Rhinolophus ferrumequinum: one gene and its partners. The protein of the gene in region 3 purifies or fractionates together with the protein of the main gene of each other region. This does not show direct contact. Links are inferred from orthologs where the notes say so. Each region holds a gene or a part of one and is shown on either strand. Other genes may lie near its edges.

Evidence for each region. The genes of interacting proteins can lie anywhere in the genome.
Region 1: the proteins of MEX3C (region 3) and AP2A1 purify together in Homo sapiens (affinity purification with mass spectrometry; 3 studies listed by BioGRID, with this or other methods). This does not show direct contact. The link is inferred for Rhinolophus ferrumequinum from reciprocal best matches to the Homo sapiens genes MEX3C and AP2A1.
Region 2: the proteins of MEX3C (region 3) and MYCBP2 purify together in Homo sapiens (affinity purification with mass spectrometry; 3 studies listed by BioGRID and IntAct, with this or other methods). This does not show direct contact. The link is inferred for Rhinolophus ferrumequinum from reciprocal best matches to the Homo sapiens genes MEX3C and MYCBP2.

Annotation. Positions count from the first base shown.
Region 1 is NC_046298.1:44,813,919-44,821,521, forward strand, and holds the start of AP2A1 (AP-2 complex subunit alpha-1), read left to right. Parts: upstream 1-4,587; 5' UTR 4,588-4,736; coding exon 4,737-4,803; intron 4,804-7,603.
Region 2 is NC_046287.1:28,147,622-28,155,078, forward strand, and holds the start of MYCBP2 (E3 ubiquitin-protein ligase MYCBP2), read right to left. Parts: upstream 3,017-7,457; 5' UTR 2,746-3,016; coding exon 2,444-2,745; intron 1-2,443. UniProt on the Homo sapiens protein: Atypical E3 ubiquitin-protein ligase which specifically mediates ubiquitination of threonine and serine residues on target proteins, instead of ubiquitinating lysine residues.
Region 3 is NC_046302.1:41,643,184-41,650,874, forward strand, and holds the start of MEX3C (RNA-binding E3 ubiquitin-protein ligase MEX3C), read right to left. Parts: upstream 3,014-7,691; 5' UTR 2,650-3,013; coding exon 1,926-2,649; intron 1-1,925. UniProt on the Homo sapiens protein: E3 ubiquitin ligase responsible for the post-transcriptional regulation of common HLA-A allotypes. Binds to the 3' UTR of HLA-A2 mRNA, and regulates its levels by promoting mRNA decay.

The sequences.
Region 1 (7,603 bases), on a different chromosome or scaffold from region 3:
AATTTCTTTTGTTCTTTAGATTCCACATATAAGTGAGAACATATGGTCTAGGGAGAGCTTACTTTAAATCCCTAAGTCTAGAAGTTCTCTCCTTAGCAGGGCCATTGAATTGAGACCTGAAGGATAAGGGGCAGCTATGGGGAAAGCTGCAGGAGGGGTGTAGAGATGTGTCTGGAGGGTCAGAATGGCCAAGAGGGAGGACAGTGTGGCTTGAGTGTTTAAGCTGGGGAAGGACACCACTGACTGATGTTATAAAGAGCAGCTGGGAGAGTGTGGAGAATGGACCGTGGGTAGCCAAGATGGGAGCAGGGAGAGCAGCAAGGGACGTCACTGCAAAGTTTCAGGTAGGGTTTCCAGGCGGGAATTCCCGCCTGTTTTCAGGAATTTTTTTTGCTTTCCCGTTCCCGAATACTGATATATAAACTGTTTTCTGTTCTCCACGATGAATCGTTTCCACAAAGTGACGGCCAATAATACTACCAACCACCTGGGTTCAAGGAGCCGATTTTCCCGATTTCCCGACCAAATTTTCTCGAGATTCAAGAACGGAAAAAGCGAAAAAATTCCAGAGAACGGGCAGGAATTCCCGCCTGGAAACCCTAGCGATAAATAGGAAACATGTCTAAGAGATACATTGTGAGTAGTATGTTTATTTCCCATTGTGGGTATTACTGGCTTCAAGGAGCCGATTTTCCTGATTTCCTGACCAACTTTTCTCAGGATTCGGGAACGGGAAAGCGAAAAAAATTTCCTGAGAATAGATGGGAATTCTTGCCTGGAAACCCTAGTTCCAGGCAAGAGATGATGGTGATGGTGGCCTACACGGGGCGGGGCAGTAGTGATGTAAGGAGGTGGCTGGCTCTGGGATATGTTGTGCCCTTGGTTTGAGGTGACAGACAGGAGGGATTCTAGCGAGAGTGCCTGGGTGATTGATGGAGGGCCCATTTGTCAAAATGGGAAGACTGGGGGTGAATACAGTTTTTCTGGAGAAAGTTGAGAGTTGATTTGCTCAGGTCAAAGTCTTAGAAGCTCTTGATGGTTCAATCCATGAGCTCCTTTAAGACAGAGCTGCTGTGTCTTAAAACCAAAATGGACTTTCCCAAACCTCATCTAGACCACCAAACGTGGATTTGTTTGTGGCCTGGTCTTAAAACTTAGCAGTGGGTCAACCCCTGAGCTCCAAAATGTTCTTTCTCAAATCTGGTCCTATAATTCTATGCCATCCAATATCAATGCCACTATGAATGGCCTGTGTCTACTGAGGGCTTGCAATGTGGCCAGTCTCAACTGAGATGTACTATAAGTAAAAAACCCTGGATTTCAAAGACTTAGAAAAATAAGCATGCCAAATATGTTGAAATGTAATATTTGGGTATATTGGATCAGATACAATATATTATTAAAATTAATTTCACCTTTTCTTTTTACTTTTTTTTTAATATGCCTGGAATAAATAGAAATTTATACCTGTGGCTCCCACTGTATACCTACCGGGGGTGCCACAAAAACGTATACACATGACTGGTATTCATCTTTTGTTATCGGTATATATTGAGTATTACAATTTTAATACAGTTCCCCCCCCTTTCTTCCGCCTCTCCCACCCCCTACTCCCGTTGTTTCTCAGTCTAGTTGTGTAGGACACAGCTCCCTGGCCCATGCTGGTATTATGAGCCTTGTGCTCCCCTCTGGTGAGGCAGTCAGTTGCCAGTCCTTGGTCGGCTGCTCACAGCAGCTCATAGCAGCTCTCACCAGCTGCCAGCCGCTCATGCTGGCCACCGGCTGCTCATGGTGGCACACAGTAGACGGTGGCAGCTCACGCCAACCTCTGGCTGCACACTGCAGCCCAGCTCCAGGGAGAGCCGTTGTTCACAATCTTAGCTGTAGAGGGCGCAGCTCACTGGCCCATATGGGAATGGAACCTGCGACCTTGGTGTTAGGAGCACGGCGCTCCAACCACCTGAGCCACCGGGCCGGCCCTAATATGGTTTTATCCTTTCTTAAAATATATATACATTTTTTTTTGGCACCCTCTGTATATCGGTAAGCCCTGCTCTAATTCAACAGGGGTCAAGTCCACAAGCTCCTAAGGGGGCACCATGTCCACCCCACATGCAGGTTTCCCCAAAGTCTCCTTTGCCATTCTGACTCTTTAGACCTCAGACTGCCTTTGCTTTAGACCCTGTCTTAAAAGTTTTTGGCTCCTTCAGCTGCGGCAGCCATTGAGGAGCACCAGCCATGGTCCTGCACTACCCCATGGCCATGAGCCTCAGCCAGGGCCACAAGTGACCAAGAAAGTGAGCAAGTGGAGGCACAACTGACTCCGCTGCTGGCGCCTCACCCGAGTTCTGTGGGACATGATCTGAGAGGTGTGCGGCTTTGCCCTCTATGAGTGGCGCCATGGAGCTGCTTAAGGTCTCTTAGGACAAGTGAGCCCTGAAGTTCATCAAGAAAAGGGTGAGGACACATTTCTGTGTCAAGAGAAGAGAGGAGCTGAGCAGTTCTTACAGTCATGAGGAAGGCAGCTGCCAAGAAGGACTGACTGAGCCCCATCCCCCTCTGTGTAATAAAACCTTTTCAGAAAAAAAAAAAGTTTTTGTTAATTCATGGGCTCTGGAGGTGGTTGGGAGAGGACTGAGTTTTCCTGTATATCCACACTGAGAACTCAGAATTAACTCCATCTTACTCCAGGTGGGTGAAAGGTGAAGGGTTGGAGGTGGTGGGTGAGAGGAAGGTGGAGAGCTGAGGTGGGTAAGAAAGTGGCTTTCCCCCTTACTTAGAGAAGGACTTTACCTGTTCTTGGGACTCTGGCTGTCTCTCTTCACATTCCTCAAAAAGCGGAGTAGTTAGAACCTCCACTGTGTGTGTGTGTGTGTGTGTGTGTGTGTGTGTGTGTGTGTGATATCTATATCTATCTATCTATCTATCTATCTATCTATCTATCTATCTATCTATCTATATAGATAAATTTTTTTAATGGCATTATCTTCTGGGAGAAAGTGCCTCCTCCTATGTGACGAATGGACCCCTCCAGTCCTTGGATGCTTAACATACCTTCCTTAAAAAGGACTGTTTTCAACTCCTGGTCCTAAGAATTTTTTATTTTTAATGGGCTTGTTCTATGTTCTTTAGGGGCAGACAGCACCCCCAACTGTTATTAGGAATGGACTCCCTTGGTCACTAAAACAGCTGAGTGATGTCTGTCCAGAATACACTTTCCCAAGCCCCATTCCTGGAAACCCAAATGGACAGATCCATTGAACCCGGAAGGTGGGCTCTTCTCACCCTAATCTCCATCCCCCCAGGACTCAGCCTGAACGTTCCCGCCAACCAGGACACTCCACCAAGGCTCATTCCAAGAATACTAGGTTTCAGAGATCTGAAAAGGGTAATGGGTGGGGTTTAGTTCCTCCGTGACAGAAATGGACTCTTCCAGTTCCCTTTGCCCCAAATTGCTCAATAGCCTGGGGCGTTGGAGTTCCGGAGGCTTTGACTTCCCAAAACCCAGTCAACCAGAGCGGGTCTCTGGGGCACTGAAGGGTGGTGGTTGGGCCAACCACAGCAGATCTACCTATTCCTTCCTTTTAAACAGCGTTCTTCAGTACTGGGTCCCATTCTTGCTCAGGAGCTGCAAGTCTGGTGGAGAGATTCACAATTTTGACTTGATATCTGTATAATGGCGTTATGATTGCGACAAAAAGGCATTGCCTATTAAAAAGTCGTTAAAAGCCAAAATATAATTTAAATTCCGATTCTGACACTTCCTAGCTGTGTGACCTTGGGCAAGTCATTCAACCTCTCTGAACCTCAGTTTTGACCTCTGCTTAATGGGACGAGACTTGAATTACTGTGTCCTCTGCCTTGGGATTCTCGGTCTCCCGACAAGTTAGGTCTCAACTTCTTGGCCGCTAAATAAGGGAGGAGGAGGTGGTGGTGGGGAAATCTTAGAAGATTTAAGGAGAGTAGGTGGAGGAAAGTAGGGAGAAAGGGGAACAGACACACGCTTGCGCAGTAAACACCTCACGCTTTCTTGCCCCTCCCATCCCCTTCTCTGCAGCAGGGAATTGCAGACGACGCTCCACCTATCCCAGACCAGCTGAGCGACACCTTCCCTTCTCCTTCCTTTTCCACCTTTCATCACCCTGCTCCAGCCCACATTACCGCCCAATGGTGGGCGGGAGCAGGACGGCCCGGCGAATCTGCGAGGTCTGCGGGGGCGATCTATTCGCCCATTGGCCCGAGTCAAAGCAAGTTCCGCCTCCTCAAGCCCGCTCCCCCGCCTTCCTTCACGCCAATCCCTCCCTTGTAGAGAGCGTTCGAATCCAATCAATATCCCAAGTATCCGCGCGTAGGGGGCGGTCCCACAGTACGTAACCGGACTCCGCCCGCCTCTCGGCAACGCCTCCTCCCCCGAACGGAAATAGCGGGGAGCTGGACCAATCGTAGCGGCGTGCCTTTGCCCTGCGGCCAATGAGAGAGGGAGTGAGGGAGATCCTGTGTCTGAGCAGCAGTGACCTGAGCCAATGGGCGGCTGTGAGCTCAGACGGCGGAGGGGAGGGAGGGGCCGGGGGCGGAGCTGCGGCCTGCCAGCCCGCCTGCCTGTCCGCCCGCCCTCCCCCCCTGGCCGGCTCGGCTCCTTGGCGTTGCCTGGGGTCCTTTCCTCCCGATCCCTGTCTGCCAGCCCCCGCTGCGCTGTGCCCTGCCCGGCCAGGCCTGGAGCCGACACCACCGCCATCATGCCGGCCGTGTCCAAGGGCGATGGGATGCGGGGGCTCGCGGTGTTCATCTCCGACATCCGGAACTGTGAGAGCTCGGCGGGGGGACACTGGAGACGGGGAGCGTGGAATTGAGGGGTTCGAGGGTTACAGAGAGGCCCGGGGGATAGAAAACCATTGGGGTCGTAGAGGGAAAAGATAGAGAGGACCCGGGGGGAACTTTAGGGTGGGGGGAATGGAGGGGCTTAGGGTGTCATAGAGTGCCTCTTGAGGTGACGACACGGAGTGGCTAGAGGCGTCTGGGAGGGTCTTAAAGGAGAGGAGGCTAGTAAGGTTCCAAGGATGGGGGCATAGAGGTGTCCCTGTGGATGATAGCCGGATGGGTCGTATTAGCGATGGGGTTAGAGGAATCCCTGATGTAGATACAAAGGGAAGGTGGTGGATGGGTTGCGGGGGGGCGGGGGGGGTATTCTGTGGAGTGATAGAGTGGGAGGAGGCTAGAGGGGCCTGGGAGGACGTGAAACGCTGGGAGCCTAATGGGGCCGCGCTTGAGGGCCTGGTTGAGAGGTTGTCATAGAGGGAAGAAGCTAGATAGGTCATTGAGGCCCTTGGCTAGTACATAGAGAGGGCCTGGGGATGATAGAAAGTCCCAGGGGTTGGGAAAGAGAGGTGGGAAGGTGGGGGCCTATAGCGGGACCCTGGTGAGGGACAGAGGGGCTCCAGGATGGAGGATTGCTTAGGAGATATTGAGGGCAGTGCAGAGGCTTGAGGGGTTACGGAGGGGAAAAGAGGGACTCACGGAGTGTAGAGGAGAGACACTGCAGGTGAGGGTCTTGGAAGAACCTGAGACAGAAAGCTGGGGCCTGAAAAGGGGAGGATATTATAAAGTAGGGGCTTGGGGGATGTTCCAGAAAGGGAAGAGCCCAGAGCTCAAAGAAGGGGCCAGGGAGCCTTAGGAATTTGTGAGGAAGAGATCTGAAAAGCTGGGGAGTAGAGGAAGCCTGGTCTCAGAGAGGGGTCAGGGAGCATGACAGTTCTGAATCTATAGCCCTGTCCCTTCTGACCATCTCAATATGGGACAGTGAGCACCACCAGGAAGGATTGTCATGGCAATGGGAGGCCTGGCATCCAGTCAGTCCCAACTCCTGGGATCTGGTGTTGGTATTTGGAGCTGCCAAGAGCTTCAGAGGCTGTTCCACATGGGATTTGGGGGCAGCTAGACCTGGGTTTGAGTTTAAATGCTGTCACTCCCCAGTGGTGTGTTAATGTGTGTGAATGAGGCCTTTTGCACATTCCAGGCACCGGGAGGATCTTGGCTATTGTTCTTGTTATTTTGCTGGATCTGAGGAGTGGCCAAGGATCTAGCACATAGTAGATGTTCAATGAACAGGAAGGGTGGAAACTGTTGGTATCAGGTGGTTGTCATGAAAAGGGGTGGAGCTAGGAGGGGTTGTGGACTAGGAGGGGTTGCCGGCTGGTAGAAGCAGGTGTGCATCGCCTCTGATACCTACCAGACATGAGACCCTTGGCATATCACTTTAACCTCTCTGAGGCTCAGTTTGATTGTCTGCAAACCTCAGTGAGAATAGCATCTTGCCTCTGAAGGTTCATTCATTCATCTGACAAGTACTTTTGAATCAGTAAAGTGTGCCAGACACTGTTCTGGGGACTGAGGCTACAAAAGTGAACAAAAATTCCTGCCCTTGGGAGTACCATGTCATGAGGGAGAAAATAAACACAGAGAACCTGCAATACATGATACAATGTCAGACTATGCTGTGAAGAAAAATAAAGAAGGGGAGGCAGGCAGAGGGCCCCGGACTGAGAGGGTGCTCAGTGAAGGCCTCCCCGAAGAGCTGACATGTGAGGGGAGACTTGAGTGAATGGCGGGAGTAAGCCCTGTGGATCCAGGCAGGGGAACAGTGCATTCAAAGGTCCTGAGGTCGCGGCACACTTGGTGTGTGTTCCCATATGAGTGAGGGGGCCGATGTAGCTGGAGCCAAAAGAGGGAGAGAGGATGGGAGCTGACGTGTAGGGCTTTGTGGGTCACAGTGAGCCCTTTGGCCTTTCCCTGAGTGAAATGAGAGAGGCAGCAAGGTTTTAAGCGCAGGAGGGACACGAGCTGATTGATGTTTTAAAATAATTTTTCTGGCCGCTATGAAGAGCACAGACTGGAGGCAAGAGCAGAAGCAGGGAAAGAATTAGATGCCTATCCAGGTGCGAGATGGTGTTGGCTCACCTGGGGTGAGAAGGGAGTGGGGAGAAGTGGTTGGATTTGGGATAAATTCTGTAGGATTTGCAAAGGGATTGGATGATGGGGTTAGGGAAGGAAAGAGAAAACAGGTTGGTGTCACTGCAGGACCCCAGCGGGAAGCCAGAGGACAGAGAGGAGACTCCAACTTGGGGACAGTGGAGGTAATTTTGCCAAATGTATTGGGGCTGGACAATCAGGGCTTCCCCTTGTCTTTTTCTCATCAGGTATATGTTGAGTGCCTGGTATGTTTCTCGCCTTATTATAGGCGCTGGGGATATAACGGTGAATAGGACAGACTTGTCAGTGTCCCTGTGGAGCTCCTAGCCCCGTGAGGGAGACCTGTACTGCATAAAAAATGCAGCTGTCCTTGTTACAAACAGTTGTATACAGATGTTGATAGCAGCATTATTCATGATAGCCAAAAAGTGGAAACAACCCAAATATTCATCGATAGATGAATGGATAAACAGATGTTTTCCACCCACACAATGGAATATTATTCAGCCATTAAAAAGAATGCAGTACTGATAACCTAGATGCTACAACACGGATGAACCTTGAAAACATCATTCTAAATGAAAGAAGCCAGACACACAAAAATGTATGATTCCATTTATCTGAAACGTCTGGAATA
Region 2 (7,457 bases), on a different chromosome or scaffold from region 3:
GACCTGGAAAGTGTTCTCACTTTCTTCAGCATTTAACAACACTGAGGACTTTCAATCCACTTTCTCAGGACCAGAGGTGCTACTATCCATCCCATGGTTCTCTTCTTAGCATTTTTATCTTCTTTTCAGCTTCCTTCACTGTTTCCTTTTTCTCATACTTTTAAACTTGATGCTCGCGAAAGCTTCATCTTCTATTCTTGCTCCATTATCTGTCCTTGAAAGATCACATCTGCTCCCCTAACTCAGCTGGTGCCCCTGTACAACTAATAATCTTCATTCAGAACCTAAAGCCTAGCTCCACTGTCCCATCACATTTAGTAAGAAATATGATTGAATTCTTCAGCAAATTTTCAATAAAGAAGAGTTGCAGGCTAAGACTTAGAAAAAATAATGTGAATGAGAATAAAAAATCATGTTCTGAAGAAGCAGTAGACAGCAATATTATACAACTTAAGGCCGGTTTCCGTAAGTACCTCTTCAAATACTTGAACTAATTCATTAATTTTAATTGGCAGCTTGCAAAAATGGGCCAAAAACTAAGAATCAGCCCCAACTTTTATATACGTGGTTAATCTATATTAATTTTGCCTGAAACTGTTAATATAATTCTAGACACACAGAAATGGTACTACTGCACTAGTAGTAAAAAGTTAAAATGGAAATATACCAGTCACAAATACTGCATAACTCTGGAAACAACATACAAAGTATTAATAAATTCAAATTCTTTGTAAAGATGTACCTACAGTACCATGATTTAGAGACTCACAGCTCACAATTATAGCTAATTATCAGAGCAAACTGTCTAATGAGGTTTTGTGCTATTTTTTAAAACATGAGGAAGAAACAGACTTGTGTCATTGTGGCCTTCAGCTTAGATAGCAAAAGGCTGTTATACACATTTATATCCATATGATTAAACTACTCATGTGCCCAATCCTGAATTACAGACATGAGGAGACTGGTTTACCCAGAAAAACTGTGAACAAAGCTCCACCTTTACAACTCTCTCTAAGAGATAAGAGCCACAATACATACTGGTAAAATACCAAATACCTGACTTAAGCCTACCCTCTTTCACTAATAGAAGAAAATGACAGCTGGTTATTACCTGACAAACTGCATTCAGTAAATACAGTAAACGCTGTAACATTTAACAAAATCCTACTATGCTTTCCCCATTTCCCCGTGTATTTTAAGAAGCTGTGAGAAAAAAGATGATGCCAATTCCCAATTACCACTGTCAAAGCCAAGCTGGTGAAACAAGTCAGTCACCATCCTTCGGGGTGTGTGGCATGTAAGGGCATGGACACACACACACACACAATAGAAGAGCACTTAGCAAAAAGACACCCATATATTAAGAAAAAGAAAATGAAAGTGATTTATCATCTCCTACATCAAAGAAACTGAAGGTGTAGTGAGCCTGGAAGAGATCCAGGAGCTACTCAAATTTTCTAGTTGGTGGCAGTTGAACACTATACAGCTGTCATATTCTGAAGTTCTTCAGTGTTGCCCTTTTTCCCACAAAACCCCCTCTCCTCTAGAACCTATAAGTGACAGAGGAAATAGAACACAAGATGAAGGGAAATGGCTGATGGAACATCAGAACATAAGAGCAATTGCAATGGCATTTCCAGAAGACTAAAGGTCCAGTTATCAAAGTACAACTATAAAAATACGTATCAGACACCTTTCACATCCACATAAATTGCCATCTGCATCCTTTTTTCTCTTAAATTGAAACCCCATGCCTAATCGACAGCCTGATGGGGAAAAAAAAAATATATATATATATATATATGTATATACACATATATATGTATATACGTATATATATATACACGTGTATACGTATATATTTATGTATGTATATGAATGACACTATCTTTAACCTACACCATTGCTCCCTTAAGTGAAAGGCAGATTTTTTAAGGGCGATGGAAAGGGGAGGATGGAATGTCATGGGGGTTGGGGGGGTGAGAAATACGTGCAAATACAATTGCGGCAGAGACTGGAAACGCCACTTCCCTGACCACTCTTGCAAATTCTCTTCTCGTATTACCTTCTCTAACCCACTATCCATTCCTCCTCCTTCCTCAACAATACACACACGTGTCATGACGACCCGAACCATCACCTTTTCTAACATCACATGCTACCCTCCCACCCTCACTAACCCGTCCCCCCAACACACACACACACACACAAAGCCAGGCACACATATTTAGAGCAGAAACTGAAGCCACCGCACCCTCCTATCTCAGTAAGTGCTTCTACCATTCAGCATCAAGCGCTTGCTGGAAGACAGCTCAGTAAATAAGTACGTAGACACACACACACACACACACACACACACACACACACACACACACACACGCAGACGCGCACGGGAGCACGCACATGCCCCATGTGGCGCAAGGAAGGGCACCCGGAGACGCACCTGGAGGCCGAGTGTCCAGCGCTGCCGCCCCCCTGGTCCCTGTCACTGAGCGCAGCGGTGTAAATCCTCCGGTAGCGGTCGGCCAGGGCCCGGCCTGACAGCAGCAGCTGGTAGTGACCCCGAGAGTCCGCGGTCGGCAGCCCCAGCCCCAGCCCCGCGGCAGCCACGGAGCCCTCGGGAACCGGCATGAACAGCGCCCCCGGCGCCGGGGAGGAAGAGATGGTGGCGGCTGGGAAGAATCCGTCCCCGCCGGGCCCCGAGGAGGCGGCGGCGGGGGAGGCAGTCGCTGCGCACATCATCATCCTCGCCGCCGCCACGACTGCCTCGTCCCCACGGGCCGGGCAGGCAGACACGCGCGCGCACACACACAGCCCTTTTCCAACGACGACGGCTCCGGCGGTGGCCTCTCGCTCCCGCAGCAGGGAGACTACAAAGACAGCGATCTCCTCCTCCTTCTCTTCCTCCTCCCCCCCGCACCGCCCTCGCCGCTACTGGGGCCGCTCATCTAACCCCGCCACCTCCGGAGTGTGAGGAGGAGGCGGTGCCGCCGCTGCCGCCGCCGCCACCACCGCTGCCACCGCCGGAGCTGCCCGCAATGGGAAGCTACCGGCCGCACTGGGCATGCGCCACACCTCGCACATGCTCAGTCACTCCAGCCCTTTTCCCTCCCTACCCCCTCTTCTCCACCACTCCCTCAGCCTCGGGGTTGAGCCTTACAGAATCTGAAAGAAATCCACTTCTCCGGATTTTACCAGCAGCTTGAGGAAGAGTAAGGAAAGTGGTAGGCAGGCTGTCAACTGCAGGCATTCGGCTTCAGGTAACGGGTTCCCTTCAGGTGGGAGAACTGGGACCTAAAAAAAAAAAAAAAAGGGAATGTACCCACCGACTGAAAATGAATGTTACATTCTCCTGTTCCCCTTCCCCAAAAGCGTGTGCTGCCAACATGCAGATTTACCGTGAATAGTGCTAGTTAATTCAGAATTCAAGGCAGAGAAAGCCAACTGAAATAGAAGTCCCTTAGGTGCTATTATTTTGCAATTTTTGTCTGTAGGATTTAAGTCTGTTTAAAATAGCTTTTGATTACAAAAGACAGGTATAATTTAGTGCATCCTTTTTTTTCTGTGAAAGTAGAATTCACAGATATGAGCGTATCCACAAGCCAGTCATTCCTAAATTCTTGTTCTCAGCATTTACACCAGAGCCAAAATCTTAACACAATAATACTTTTCTTAAATATTGTTTTGTTGACTCCACACTCACCATAAAAGTTCAGTCTTATCTCTTGACAGTGGTCACTTAGTGGTTTACCTTTTTCTTCCCAGATTTAAATTACTAAAGATAATTCTATATTATGACCGGAAACTATGATTGTGACTATGTATAACATCTGGAAATGGCGTATGTACCAAAGATCTTATTGTGATCTATAAAAATGTAACATTTGCTGAGTCCCCTTTTCCAAGCTATTTTACTGACCAATACTAAGTAAATGCTCTAGAAATACATGTGCCAGTGCACCCCGATTCCTGTTAGTTTTAGCCTTTTGATTCAATTGGAAGAGTATAAATGTATACCCCTGACAAAAATGATTAAGTCCTGTCATCCCAATACCATATTCTTTATCTATTTACTAACTCTTCTTATGTCTGTACCTCTTCTTTGAACATCCTTCTCTTAAAAAAAAAAAAAAAAGCAGCCCTATTTAGTATTTTGAGAAGTAGGGAAGTAAATTAATTCTAGTTACCTAGAGGGGAGGCAATGCTGAAGGACTGCATTTCATCTGAGGCTTTAAATGGTTGATGGATGTCACTCTGATTACAAAATAAAAAGAGCAAAAGAGAAAATGAAAACATAGGGATAAAGGACTGCCATGGGGAATCATAGTATTTTAGTACAGTGAGTAACTCTGTCAAACAATTTTTGTATTTGTCTTGTTTCTTCAATTATTTTATAAGCTCCCTCAGAGCTTCTCATTTATCTTTGTGTCTTCCTCAGCCCCTAATTTAGAACCTTGCACAAAGTAAGTATCCAATAAGTATGTTAGGCTAAATTCCTGTCCTGATATTTCAGCACAGTTACAAGCTCGGTGTTGAACAGGAAGCCCCCCTGCCCAACCCTAATTTCCTAAGGGTCAGAGGCAAGACACAGGCATAGAGGCAGCTAAAGGCTGGTGGAGTTAGTAGTCTGAACAATGCAGAAGCTGCTGCAAGGGCTCATTCTGTTGTAAGAGTCTAGGAAGTAGCCAAAGGCTCTGACCGGCTGGGATTTGGATCCTGACTCTGCTACTTGTATATCTTTGGGCAAGTTTGGTCCTCTGAATAATGGTCAAAATACTACGAGATTATGGAAGGACTTCAGGTACCTAGGATGCCCTCCTTGGCACACGGCTTTTCTCAAATGGTAACACACAAAACAAAACATTCTAGACTTTTTCATAAGGACAGGTACGGTGTCTGGGTCTGTTTCCCCATTACATCCCCAGCTCCTAGAACAGACTCTAGCTCTAAGCAGGAGGGAAATATATATTCGCTGAATGAATGAATGATGGCTGCACAGACAAACATTTCCAGTTCAGGCTTAGGAGGTGGCACAAGCAGTCATTGCCCATTTACAGTTTCTAGTGGGGACTGACCAGAGCGGCTGCACTGATCTCCAGTTCTTCCCACCTCTTCCTCGATTTCACTCCGCTCTGTACCCTACCCTTCAGTCCCAGACAGGCCCCTTCCTGGGCCTTCTGGGTACACACAAAACCCGGTAACAGGATCATTTCCTAAGGAATCCGTTGTCAAGAGCGGCGCCACTAGGCGTGCGCAGAGTCGCACACATGCTCACTTAGGTATCCGAGGGTGGCGTTTGTTGCGGTTGGCAGCGTTTCCTTCCACGGCAGCGGCAGCGGCCGCTCTACTCTAAATTGATAGCCAGTGCAGCGTTTTCTGTCCCTCCTCCTCCTCTTCCTGCCTCTGCACTGGGCACTCCCGGTCACTGCAGCTGCTACAGCTATTGGCCCTGGCAGCTGGGGACCTTGGAAGGTTCCCCTGGGGTGGCGGAATAGGGGGTGCATCCCAGGAAGGAAAGGACGTTTGGAGTCGCCTTTAATTCCACTGTCAAGGGGACACGAAGGGGAGGGTGGTCCCCAAAGCAAGAAGCGAGGGTCACCTGAACCGTCACTGCTGACGGGAGATGTGGGTTTCTCTGAATGTGCAAAGCAAGCGTCCCCTCCCGCCAATCTTGAGCGCACAACTACTGAATGCTTTATGCTGCCCTTGTGTGCGTTTGTGCGTGTGTGTGTGGGGGGGGATTCAGAGGGAGGGGCTCTTGTTATTCAAGGAAATATGGAGAATGAAAGCATATAGAGGGCTTTGCTTTTGTTTTTCCAACCCCACGGAGTGCGGCTCCCGTACTTTGCTCGCTGCCATCTTAGCTTTATCTTCTGGCCGGGCTGGGCGTGTGTGTGCATTTGTGTGAGGAGGGAATGTTAGAGGCGTGCGGGGGAGGAAGGAGCACTGCGCAGGTTGGGTGTCAGAATTGGCTAGACAGGGGTTCAGGACACAGTCGCCCTCAATAACGAACTAAGGCAAATCGTGATTTCAACCGTTTTATTAGTGAAACGCATGAGGTATTTTGTAATCTTTGTGGTTGATAACATTCATTTCTCAAAAGCATCTCTCTTGTCTATGATCATAAAAGACTATGGCTTCATCTTTCGATGGATGGTCACCGATTGTGTCACTCTTTACACTGGAAATGGCAAACCTGGGACTATAATTTTCTAACCTCTTTAGAGATTTACACTTTTTGTACTACATTTCTTTAAGGCTACTTTTTTTTGTTTTGTTTTTAAAGAAAGTCATCAGCACCAATGTATGAAAAGCAGGGCAGAAACCATTAGGTGTATGTAAGAGGACGATAAGTGATGTTGGATGTTGTTAGTTTCATTTTAAAGGTCAATATTGTCCTAATGTTTCGAGATTACAAACACAGGAAGCATGTATATTACCAGGAACATCAAGAGGGCTGAAAATGCTGTGGTCAAGAGTCTGAGTTTGTTGCCCAGATTTGTACAGTAATGTGCTGGAGCATTTAAAAACAAAATTGGTAATTGAGAGCATTTTAAAAGAAACTTGGTAGCTGAGAACAATTTGGAAGAAAAAATGCTCAAGCTTAAAGAGTAAAGAAATGCATCACTCTTCAGTAATCTGTGCTGTTTAAGGACCACAGAATTTTGCGTCTTTGACAAATATGACCATATCGAGCTTTGAAATATTTCATATGATATATTTAATACTCCAAATTGAACAGAAAAATTCAACATGGAAGTTGAAATTCTTTTACACATAAATTAGATGTTGGATTCCCTAGATATCTTGATCTCTTGCTTTAAATAACTCTTTTTAGAGCTTTAGAAGAGTCAGTAATTTGTAGGTATGAAGAGTTAATGTTTTTTCATTTTTATTCATATTACTTTTGGAAGATACAAATTATATGTAAGTTTTCTTACAAATGAAAAAATGTGGATTCTAAGGGACCTGACTTACGTATGCCCTATTTTGTCCCGGAAAAATTATTCTAAAATATTATGTGAGGATATTCTTTGAAGTATGTAAATTCAATAATGCACATTTAACTGCAAATCACATTTTTAAAAACCTTGCTGTGATGCATTTTAGACTACAAGAAGTTTTCACAACTGATAAAGAAAGTCATATAAAGTATAACTCTTTGAAAGAGAGAAATGTAAGAACCACAGCATTTTAACCTTGAAAACTTAGGTATAGTTTCAATGTAGTGAGTTTTGGGGATTTTAATTGATGCCTACATTTTGACACGTAGTTGTCAAAATAGATTATAGTTTCTTCTCAAGTGGCTTGTGGCTATGATTTCTATGGTTCAAAAAGTATTAATCATCCATGGCTCACATTCTCTGATAATTTACTGTAATTAACATCAAAATCTTAGCCCCACCTAGTTCAACTTCCTGTTTTGATAAATATTTTTACTTTTATATTTGAAAGTA
Region 3 (7,691 bases):
CCTTAGTAAAATTGGCATGTAAATGTTCTTCATTATCCTAAACTGTCACCATATGCACACTGTTGCAACTTGTGCTAAGTGGCATCATCCCAGCATGGCAATAAGGGTTTTTCATATACTCTGTTCCCAAACACACACCACCTTCCTTCCCAGCCCCTTTTCAGATACTAAGTATCAACAAAACAAAACAAAAAAAAAAGAAAAAAGAGAAAGAAAAATGCAACTTCCCAATCATACCTAGAGATTATTCCTCTGTACCTTTCCTCGCATTGTTCCTCAGTCTTTCTTCCATCTCCACTTGATAAAGCCCTGTCCATTTTCCAAGGCCACCCAGGGTTTATGTTCTTGTTCGTATGTACGACTTTTGTTTGTCACACATTACAGTTAGTGCCATTAACTATATATTAGTTTAGGGTCATTCCATTGTTTACTAGACTGTTAGCTTCTCAAGGGCACCAAGTTTGTCTGAAATCAACCTCACCTTCCCAACTGCCATAAACTCAAAGCCTGGCAAAATACAAGCTCAATACATAGCAATTCCTCGATGTTCTTAACTGAAAGGCCAACTCATTCTGGATCTATAAATTGAGATGTTCTAATTTTGTCCTATGTAAGGTGAAATAGTTCTCTCCTGCATTAGTATCTTAAGCATTGCAAAAACCAAACAAGGCATGCTAAAGTTATTTGCCAAACTATAGTAATAAACTCTCTGTTGAATGGCACCAGTTTTGAACACTGCCTTTAAGTTCCAATCATCAGGGGGTCTGAAATAAGCCATCTCCTCTATCCAGATGGGTTTTTCTTATTAAAATCGTAGAGGTAAGAAATGAGCCAACCCTGATATTTGAAACCACCATTTCAACAGACCTCTTATTTATGTGTACTTTAGACCACTTGGGAAAGATGAGATCATTTTAAGCAGCAGCGCCATCATTTCTCTTTATTTGACCCCAACAATGCTCTCAACCTAACAGCAAAGAAACATGTATCAACCAAGCAAAACCATTTAGTAATAAGGCAGCTGCAGGTATATTTAATAAGAGAGAAAAAGTACACTAACGGCCATTGGACCTTCCCTAAAAACGTCGGATACAGAGGTACTCTGGGCATCCCCTTCCCCCACCTTCACAAATCTACTCCTGGAATCTGAGACATAGGTCCTTTGTCTGAACAATGTGGGAGGAGTCTGTCTGCAGTACTGGTGTGCTGGCAAGGGAAGAGAATTTACTGAAAACGGTATAAATGCATCAAGTTCCTTAACTCAGTAACCTTACTGTTGCATTTTTCTTCATCGTGTACACTAAAGCATACTACAAGGTAGCCAGTGTGCCTTTTTGAGAGTTAAAATATAAAAGGAATACAATAAGATCAACTGAGTTAGGCTGCACTTCAAAGGCTAAGTTTCTGAATAGCGGAGGGGTGGGGGGTGGCGATGAAACCCACCACTTGAACATCCCCCTTCCCTCGCGAAGGAAGTCTCTCTTCAAGCCTCCATTTCTGTGCATTTCCCCATCTGAACGAGCTCTTGGAAGGGAAGCCGAGCGCTTTTACCAGAGTCGGGGAGCAAACTTGCAATCTCGGAGCTTTCCCCGGGCACCACACCGAATGCACAATCGACCCGACCTTTTACCACCTCACTGAGGTTTTTGGTGTCACGCCAGCCTGGTGTTCCACGAATACAGCCCGAGTAAAGTGAACACCGCCGGATTGGGTGGCTCGAGAAACTTAATACCTTTTATCATGCAAAACGAGCGGCACACCGTGGGTTTTCGAAAGGTGACCCATCCGACCCTCGGCTCCTCCCAGACCCCTTCGCAGTGGACTTGGGGGACTCGCCAGGTTCGCTTTTCCTGCCCCAAGCCGGTTTCTTTCGTCCTCCCACCCACGCCCGGGGCCATGCCCCGCTGAACCCTCCTCACACTCACCCTGGCGACCGACAATCTCAGCGACATGTTCGGAGCTGGGCACTGGGACGCACTCGGTGGTGTTGACGCTCTTCCTCCGCAGCAGGGCCGCCTGCTCCCCGTTCAGGGCGGCCGCCGCCGCCCCGCAGCCGCCGGGGCCGTAGGCGTGGGACAGCATCGCCGCCATCATGCCCTGGGCATCGTCCCCTCCGTAGAGCACCCCCGCCGCCGCGGCCGCCTCCCGGGCATCGAAGCCGGCGGCGGGCAGCAGAACCGACCCCAGGGACCCGCCCGGGATCGGCTGGGTCTGGGAGGCGGAGGTGGCGGGCGGCGACAGCAGCAGCAGCGACGGCCGGTCCTCCTCCTCTGCCTCCTCCAGCTCCTCCTCCTCCAGCAGGTCTCCGTCCAGCTCCGCTTCCCCCCCCTCCTCCTCGTCCTCCTCCAGCTCCAGCTCGGCCGTCTCCGGGACCCCGGGCCGGCCGGGCGGAGCCCGCTCCTCCGGAGACAGTCCCGCCGCCCGCCTGGCCTGGCCCTGCGCCGCCGCGGCCCTTAGCGCCGGGGCACCGGGCTCCGCCGGGCTGGGGTCGTCGAGGCCTAGCGCGGCCAGGTGCTCCCTCAGCAGGAGCCCGTCCCCCTCAAGTTCCTGGCCGCCCGCAGGCGGCGGCAGCGGCGGCGGCGGGGGCGGCTGCGGCAGGGGGGCCGGGGCCGCCGCCAGGGCCAGGGCCGCGGAGCTGCCGCTCGGCATCGCGGCAGCGTGCTGTCAATGGCGGCGGCGGCGGCGGCCGGGTCAGGCGCGGCGGGCGGCGAGCCCCATGGCGGACAGGGCCTGGGCCCTGCTCAGCGCGCAAACACCTTTCCTCTGGGGAGGCGACAGGGCTGGCGACCGGGGCTAAGGAGCGCCAGGGCCGCCCGGAGACCGGAGAGGGCGGGGTGGAGGGGCCAGGGAAGGCGGCAGAGGTAGGTAACTAGGTGGGTGGGTGGGGACGGCAGCGGGGCGGGCTGGTGGAGGTGGCAGCGGCTCCCCTCTCAGGGTTTCTTTTGTTTCATGGCCTTAACCAGCCCCCGGCGCGCGCGGCGGCGGCGGCGACGCCCCACGCCGCTCTCCAAATGAAGCCGGCGCGCTCTGATTGGGCGCTTTTAATCTTTGGGAGCCCGCCCTCTCCTCGCCGCAGCCTTCTAAGTCCTTTCCCTAGCCCCACCCCCCCACCCCTCCTCTCGAGCCCCGCCCCGCTCCTCCCCAGAGCTCTCTGATTGGGTGACTGGGGCCCCCGAAGCCTTCTCCTTTCGTCCTCTCCCCTCCCCCCTCCCCTCCCTCCCCTTTGCCTACTGGCTCACGAGGAGAGGGACTGCGATTGTTCGTTTTATACGTCACTCTTTGTGACGTACCCAGGTGGGGGCGGGGAAAAGGAGGCGGGATGAAGGCGCAGTAGCAGAGGCTGAAACTAAGGACTGAGTAGGGGTTTTCGCGCAGGCGCATACAGTTGAAGCGCACACCTGGGTCTCTTCCTTTTCCCGCATTTCTGTTGCCCACCTGGGTCGGGTCTTTTTGCGCAGTGTGGGAGCGGCAATGGAGTGGAGTATAGACATGGGTCGGAGGGCATTGTTTCCCCAGGTTGGGGAAGAGCTTTCCCTCTTTCAGGGTAAGAGCCTAAGGAGAGTCGAAGGGGGAAGCTAATGAAATGTCCTCCTATCCGGCCGCCGGGGTGGTTTCCTGAGCCGCGTGGCTCCTGGGCCTTCCCTGCAAAACCCGGGAATGCTCCTCCCTTGGGGCAGGGCCCTCCCACGACCATCTGCCCCGGCTTCCAATGCGAGGCCGGTTGGTTACATCAGGAGCCTTAAATGCTGAACTTCAGTTCTTCCGGGCTTTTCAAGGAAATTAAATCGTTTCCTCCTCCAAGCGCTCTTCCCACGGTATTGCCCATGTGATCCTACACACTGGTTATCTTTTCTAGAGGTTTATTTTTAAATGGCTTTTTAAAGCCTATTTCCTCCATCTTAGTCTATGACTCCTCCCTCCCCCCTTTAGTACCAGGTAGTCTCCCCAGGTTAGTGTTAATCATTAGCATTGTCCTACAGAAATATAATGTGAGCAACATAGTGTCATTTTAGGGCTTCTAGGGGCCCATTAAAAAAATAAGAAACAGTTTTAATAGTGCAATAATTCAAGATATTTTAACATGCAATCAATGTAAAATTATTAATGATACATCTTACAGTTTTTTCACGCAATGTCCTTAAGAATTGTGTGTATTTTCCTTACATAGACTCACAGATTATCTCAATTAAGTTTGCTTTACACTAGCCATACGTCAAGTACTGAGTACTAGCCGCTCAAGACCTTGAATTTTGAGTTGTAACTTGGGACCCTTCCTACATTGGATTTCTTGTATCTTCCTGCCTCACACTTGTTTCTTATGAATGAACTTGAATTGAACACCAATTTTCTAAACTGTCTAGGATGTTACAAAGTCAAGCAGTCCAAGAGAAGTCTTAACTATGTCTTCTGAGTTTTTTTTGTGTGCCCTTATAGCCATGTGCCCAATTCTGTAACTTAGTCTATCCCTCCAATCAAAGGCCTAGAGAATTCTAGCTAGCCCTAAAACCTTTCCTGTTACTAGGTTACTCTGGTCCTCATATAACCCTGTATGTTGTTTCTCTAACAACTCATTTGTAGCTGTGGGCTCCGAAGCAGTGATAACCCTGACTGTACATCAGGATGAAGAAGGGGTTTTAAAAAAGATAAATGTAGAGCAAAGAGAGGCAAAACTCTGGATATTTGGATTTCGTAGATCTGGAGTGGGGACCTGGCACACGTTTTTAAAAAGCCACACAGATTCTGAGAGCTCAGCCAGAGTTGAGAATACTGATCTAGGGTTTGAGTTTGGCGGTTACAGACGGAAACGTGCCATTAATTCTACTGAAAATGACCTTTTTCTCCCCTACCTTCCCAATTAGGCACAATTTTCACTGATTTACTACGTTACATCTTTTTTTTTTTTTTTGCAATATCTCTGCCCCAAGGACATAATATTTCATGGCGTCTTATAAAGGTACTGAATATTTTAAAATGTATCATTGAATAGCTTATATTATTAGACATTTACTTATAGACTATACAAATATGCTTGTCTGATATTTCAGTTTAAACAATAACCATTATTTGAAGGGTAGATCTTTTAGCGAAGCAAATCTCACCAAGGGAGAAAATAAAAAGGTGCAGTGGCCACTCCCAGGATATATTGTTGGTCATTGGGAGGAAATGGGTAATAGAATTACAAATGAAACTCTCAGACATTCCTTTCTTCATCTCTTTTCATGAGTATTGTCATTTAATGCTCACCCCTTGGTCTTAAGTTCTCTTCCCTAGGAACCAAAGCAAAAGCTATAGTGGGAGTGATAGTTCACACTACAAATTTTTCTTTTGAGAAGTAGATATGTAAAGAATAGATTCATGTAGACAAAATCCATTCAGCTAAGATTTTTAAAAATGCTAAATAGTTAATTTAGGTGTTCATAATATAAAAATTGCTTTCTGCTTCATTCTCACGTAATAAATGAGGTTTCATATGTTCCCAGACACAAATGTATACATTCATGCATTAATTTATATTTGATCAATATTGTGATTTATGAACAAGGCTGGAGATATTGAAGCTCACCTACCTTCCCCTTTGGGTTTATATTTATTGTCTTGTATTAAATCTTGTTTACCAAGCACATTTAAGATTTGCTTTTGCTCTAAATGTATGACTGGTATTCTTTCATTTAAATCCGTTAAACACCATCCCTTCTACACTCCCCCAGTAATACTATTAATTTGCACTTGAATAGTTTTTCTTTTCATTCCTTGTGCTGCTGTTTATGACAAAGGTTGATATATAGGGGCAGAAGAGTTACTTAAGGATCTTAAGACTAAAAGAAAACTACAGAGTTGGCTACGTTTTATCAACTAAGTAGGCTGACTGCTGAACTAGCCTTTTAAGTCTAATTATAATGATATTAAGGTTGGAACAATTGCAAACTAAATGAAGCTTAACAAATATGTTTGTCCTAGTAAGAAAACTGAGATAATTAGAAACAATTTTGAAACAAAGTTGTAAAGACTGCCAAAAAGCGTGGTGAAAGATTCTGCTGACACCCTCACCTAGAACCCAAAACTAAAACATCTGCTTTGTTTTAAGGCAGGGATGAGTTTCTTTACAGTAGGATGTCCCCTGGGATAAGTATTACCCAACTCCAAGATAAGTCTTCCTGCAGCATGACAATAAACGTGCCATTCTCCTACTTGAAAGGGCTCCCAATTGCCTGAGAACAAAGTCTCCTACCTAGAATTCCAGGCTTTCCACACTCTGGTATCATTCTTGCAAGTGCTCAAAATTGTAACATAAACATACTTAAATCTGTCCTATATTAACAAACAGAAACTCTTCCTTGATGGCACTTCTCCCTCCTGTCACCACTCTTTATTCTCTACTCCAAATCAGCTGCTTCGAAAACTATTTGCTGTCCTGTATCTCACACTGCAATGCACCAGCGGGCTGTTGCTACTTCATTGGAATTATCTCCATCTTGTCACTGAATCCAATAAGCACTTTTTATCCTTATCCATCTTAACCTTTCCATGACACCATTGACTGCTCCTTATAGCACTCTCTTCCTTTGCCTTCCCTCTGCTTTCCCTCCTACTTTCATAGTATGCCTCAGCCCCTTTGCACGCTCAGTGTCTCTATCACTCTTTGGGTATTTATCAAAAATCTGTCTCGAGTCTGTTTCCTGCTTACTCTATCTATATTCTCTACTTAAAAATCTTATCCGTTCCCCAGATTTCTGTTTCCTTGTTGACAATTCCTAAATCTATGTTGTCATTCTTGATCTATCCATTGAGTTCCAAACACATAAATCCCACTGTTTTATGAATGTCTCCACGTGGCAATTCAAATTCTACCTCAATTTAAGCTCAACTTCTCAAACTGAAATTTCAGTTAAAATCAGCTTTTTAGCTTAGGATTAGACAGCACCAATATCCTACTCAGTTCCTTTGACTGAAAGCCTGGTCGACATTCTTGACTTCTCCTTTAACCTCCACAGCCTGTAAAGACCAAGTCCTGTGGGACACACCTCTCACTCTCAAATCTACGTATCTTTCTACATCTTTACTATCATTACTGTAGTCTAGGCCACTATCATTTAGACCATGAACTATCACACTCATCCACAAAACAATATTCTTACATTAAGTCTTGCTCTCCTCCAATTCATTTTCCATTCTGAAGCTGGAGTGGTTTTAATTCAAGTTTATTCCTTCTACTTCCCTGCTTAAAACCCTTTTTGTTGTCCTTAAGGGTCCACATAACATCCCAATTTCTTAACTTATAAGGTCTTCTTTCTGTATCTGGGCCCCGTCTAACTCTTTAGCCACATTTCAATACCATCCTTCCTCTTGCACTCTTGGTCTCAGCCACAGAGACCTTCTAGCAGCCATTCGTATATTCTACATACTCTTATTATGCTTCCAGGCCTGGAATGTAGCTCTCCTCTGTTCACTCTTAGCTTAGCTAACTCCTGCTTGTCCTTCAGGGCTCAGCTTATATGTCACTTTTTGGAGGATGGCTTCCCTAACATTCTAAGTAAGGTTAGGTATCCTAGTGGTAGGCTCCCATTGCATCCTACATGTCCCTAGAAACACTCTTCCTACCTTGTTGTTTAATTGTATTTCTTCCTTTGTTTTCATCCTTACAAAGCCAGTGCCTACTGAAGTCCCTGGCATTGAGGAGGAGCCCATATATA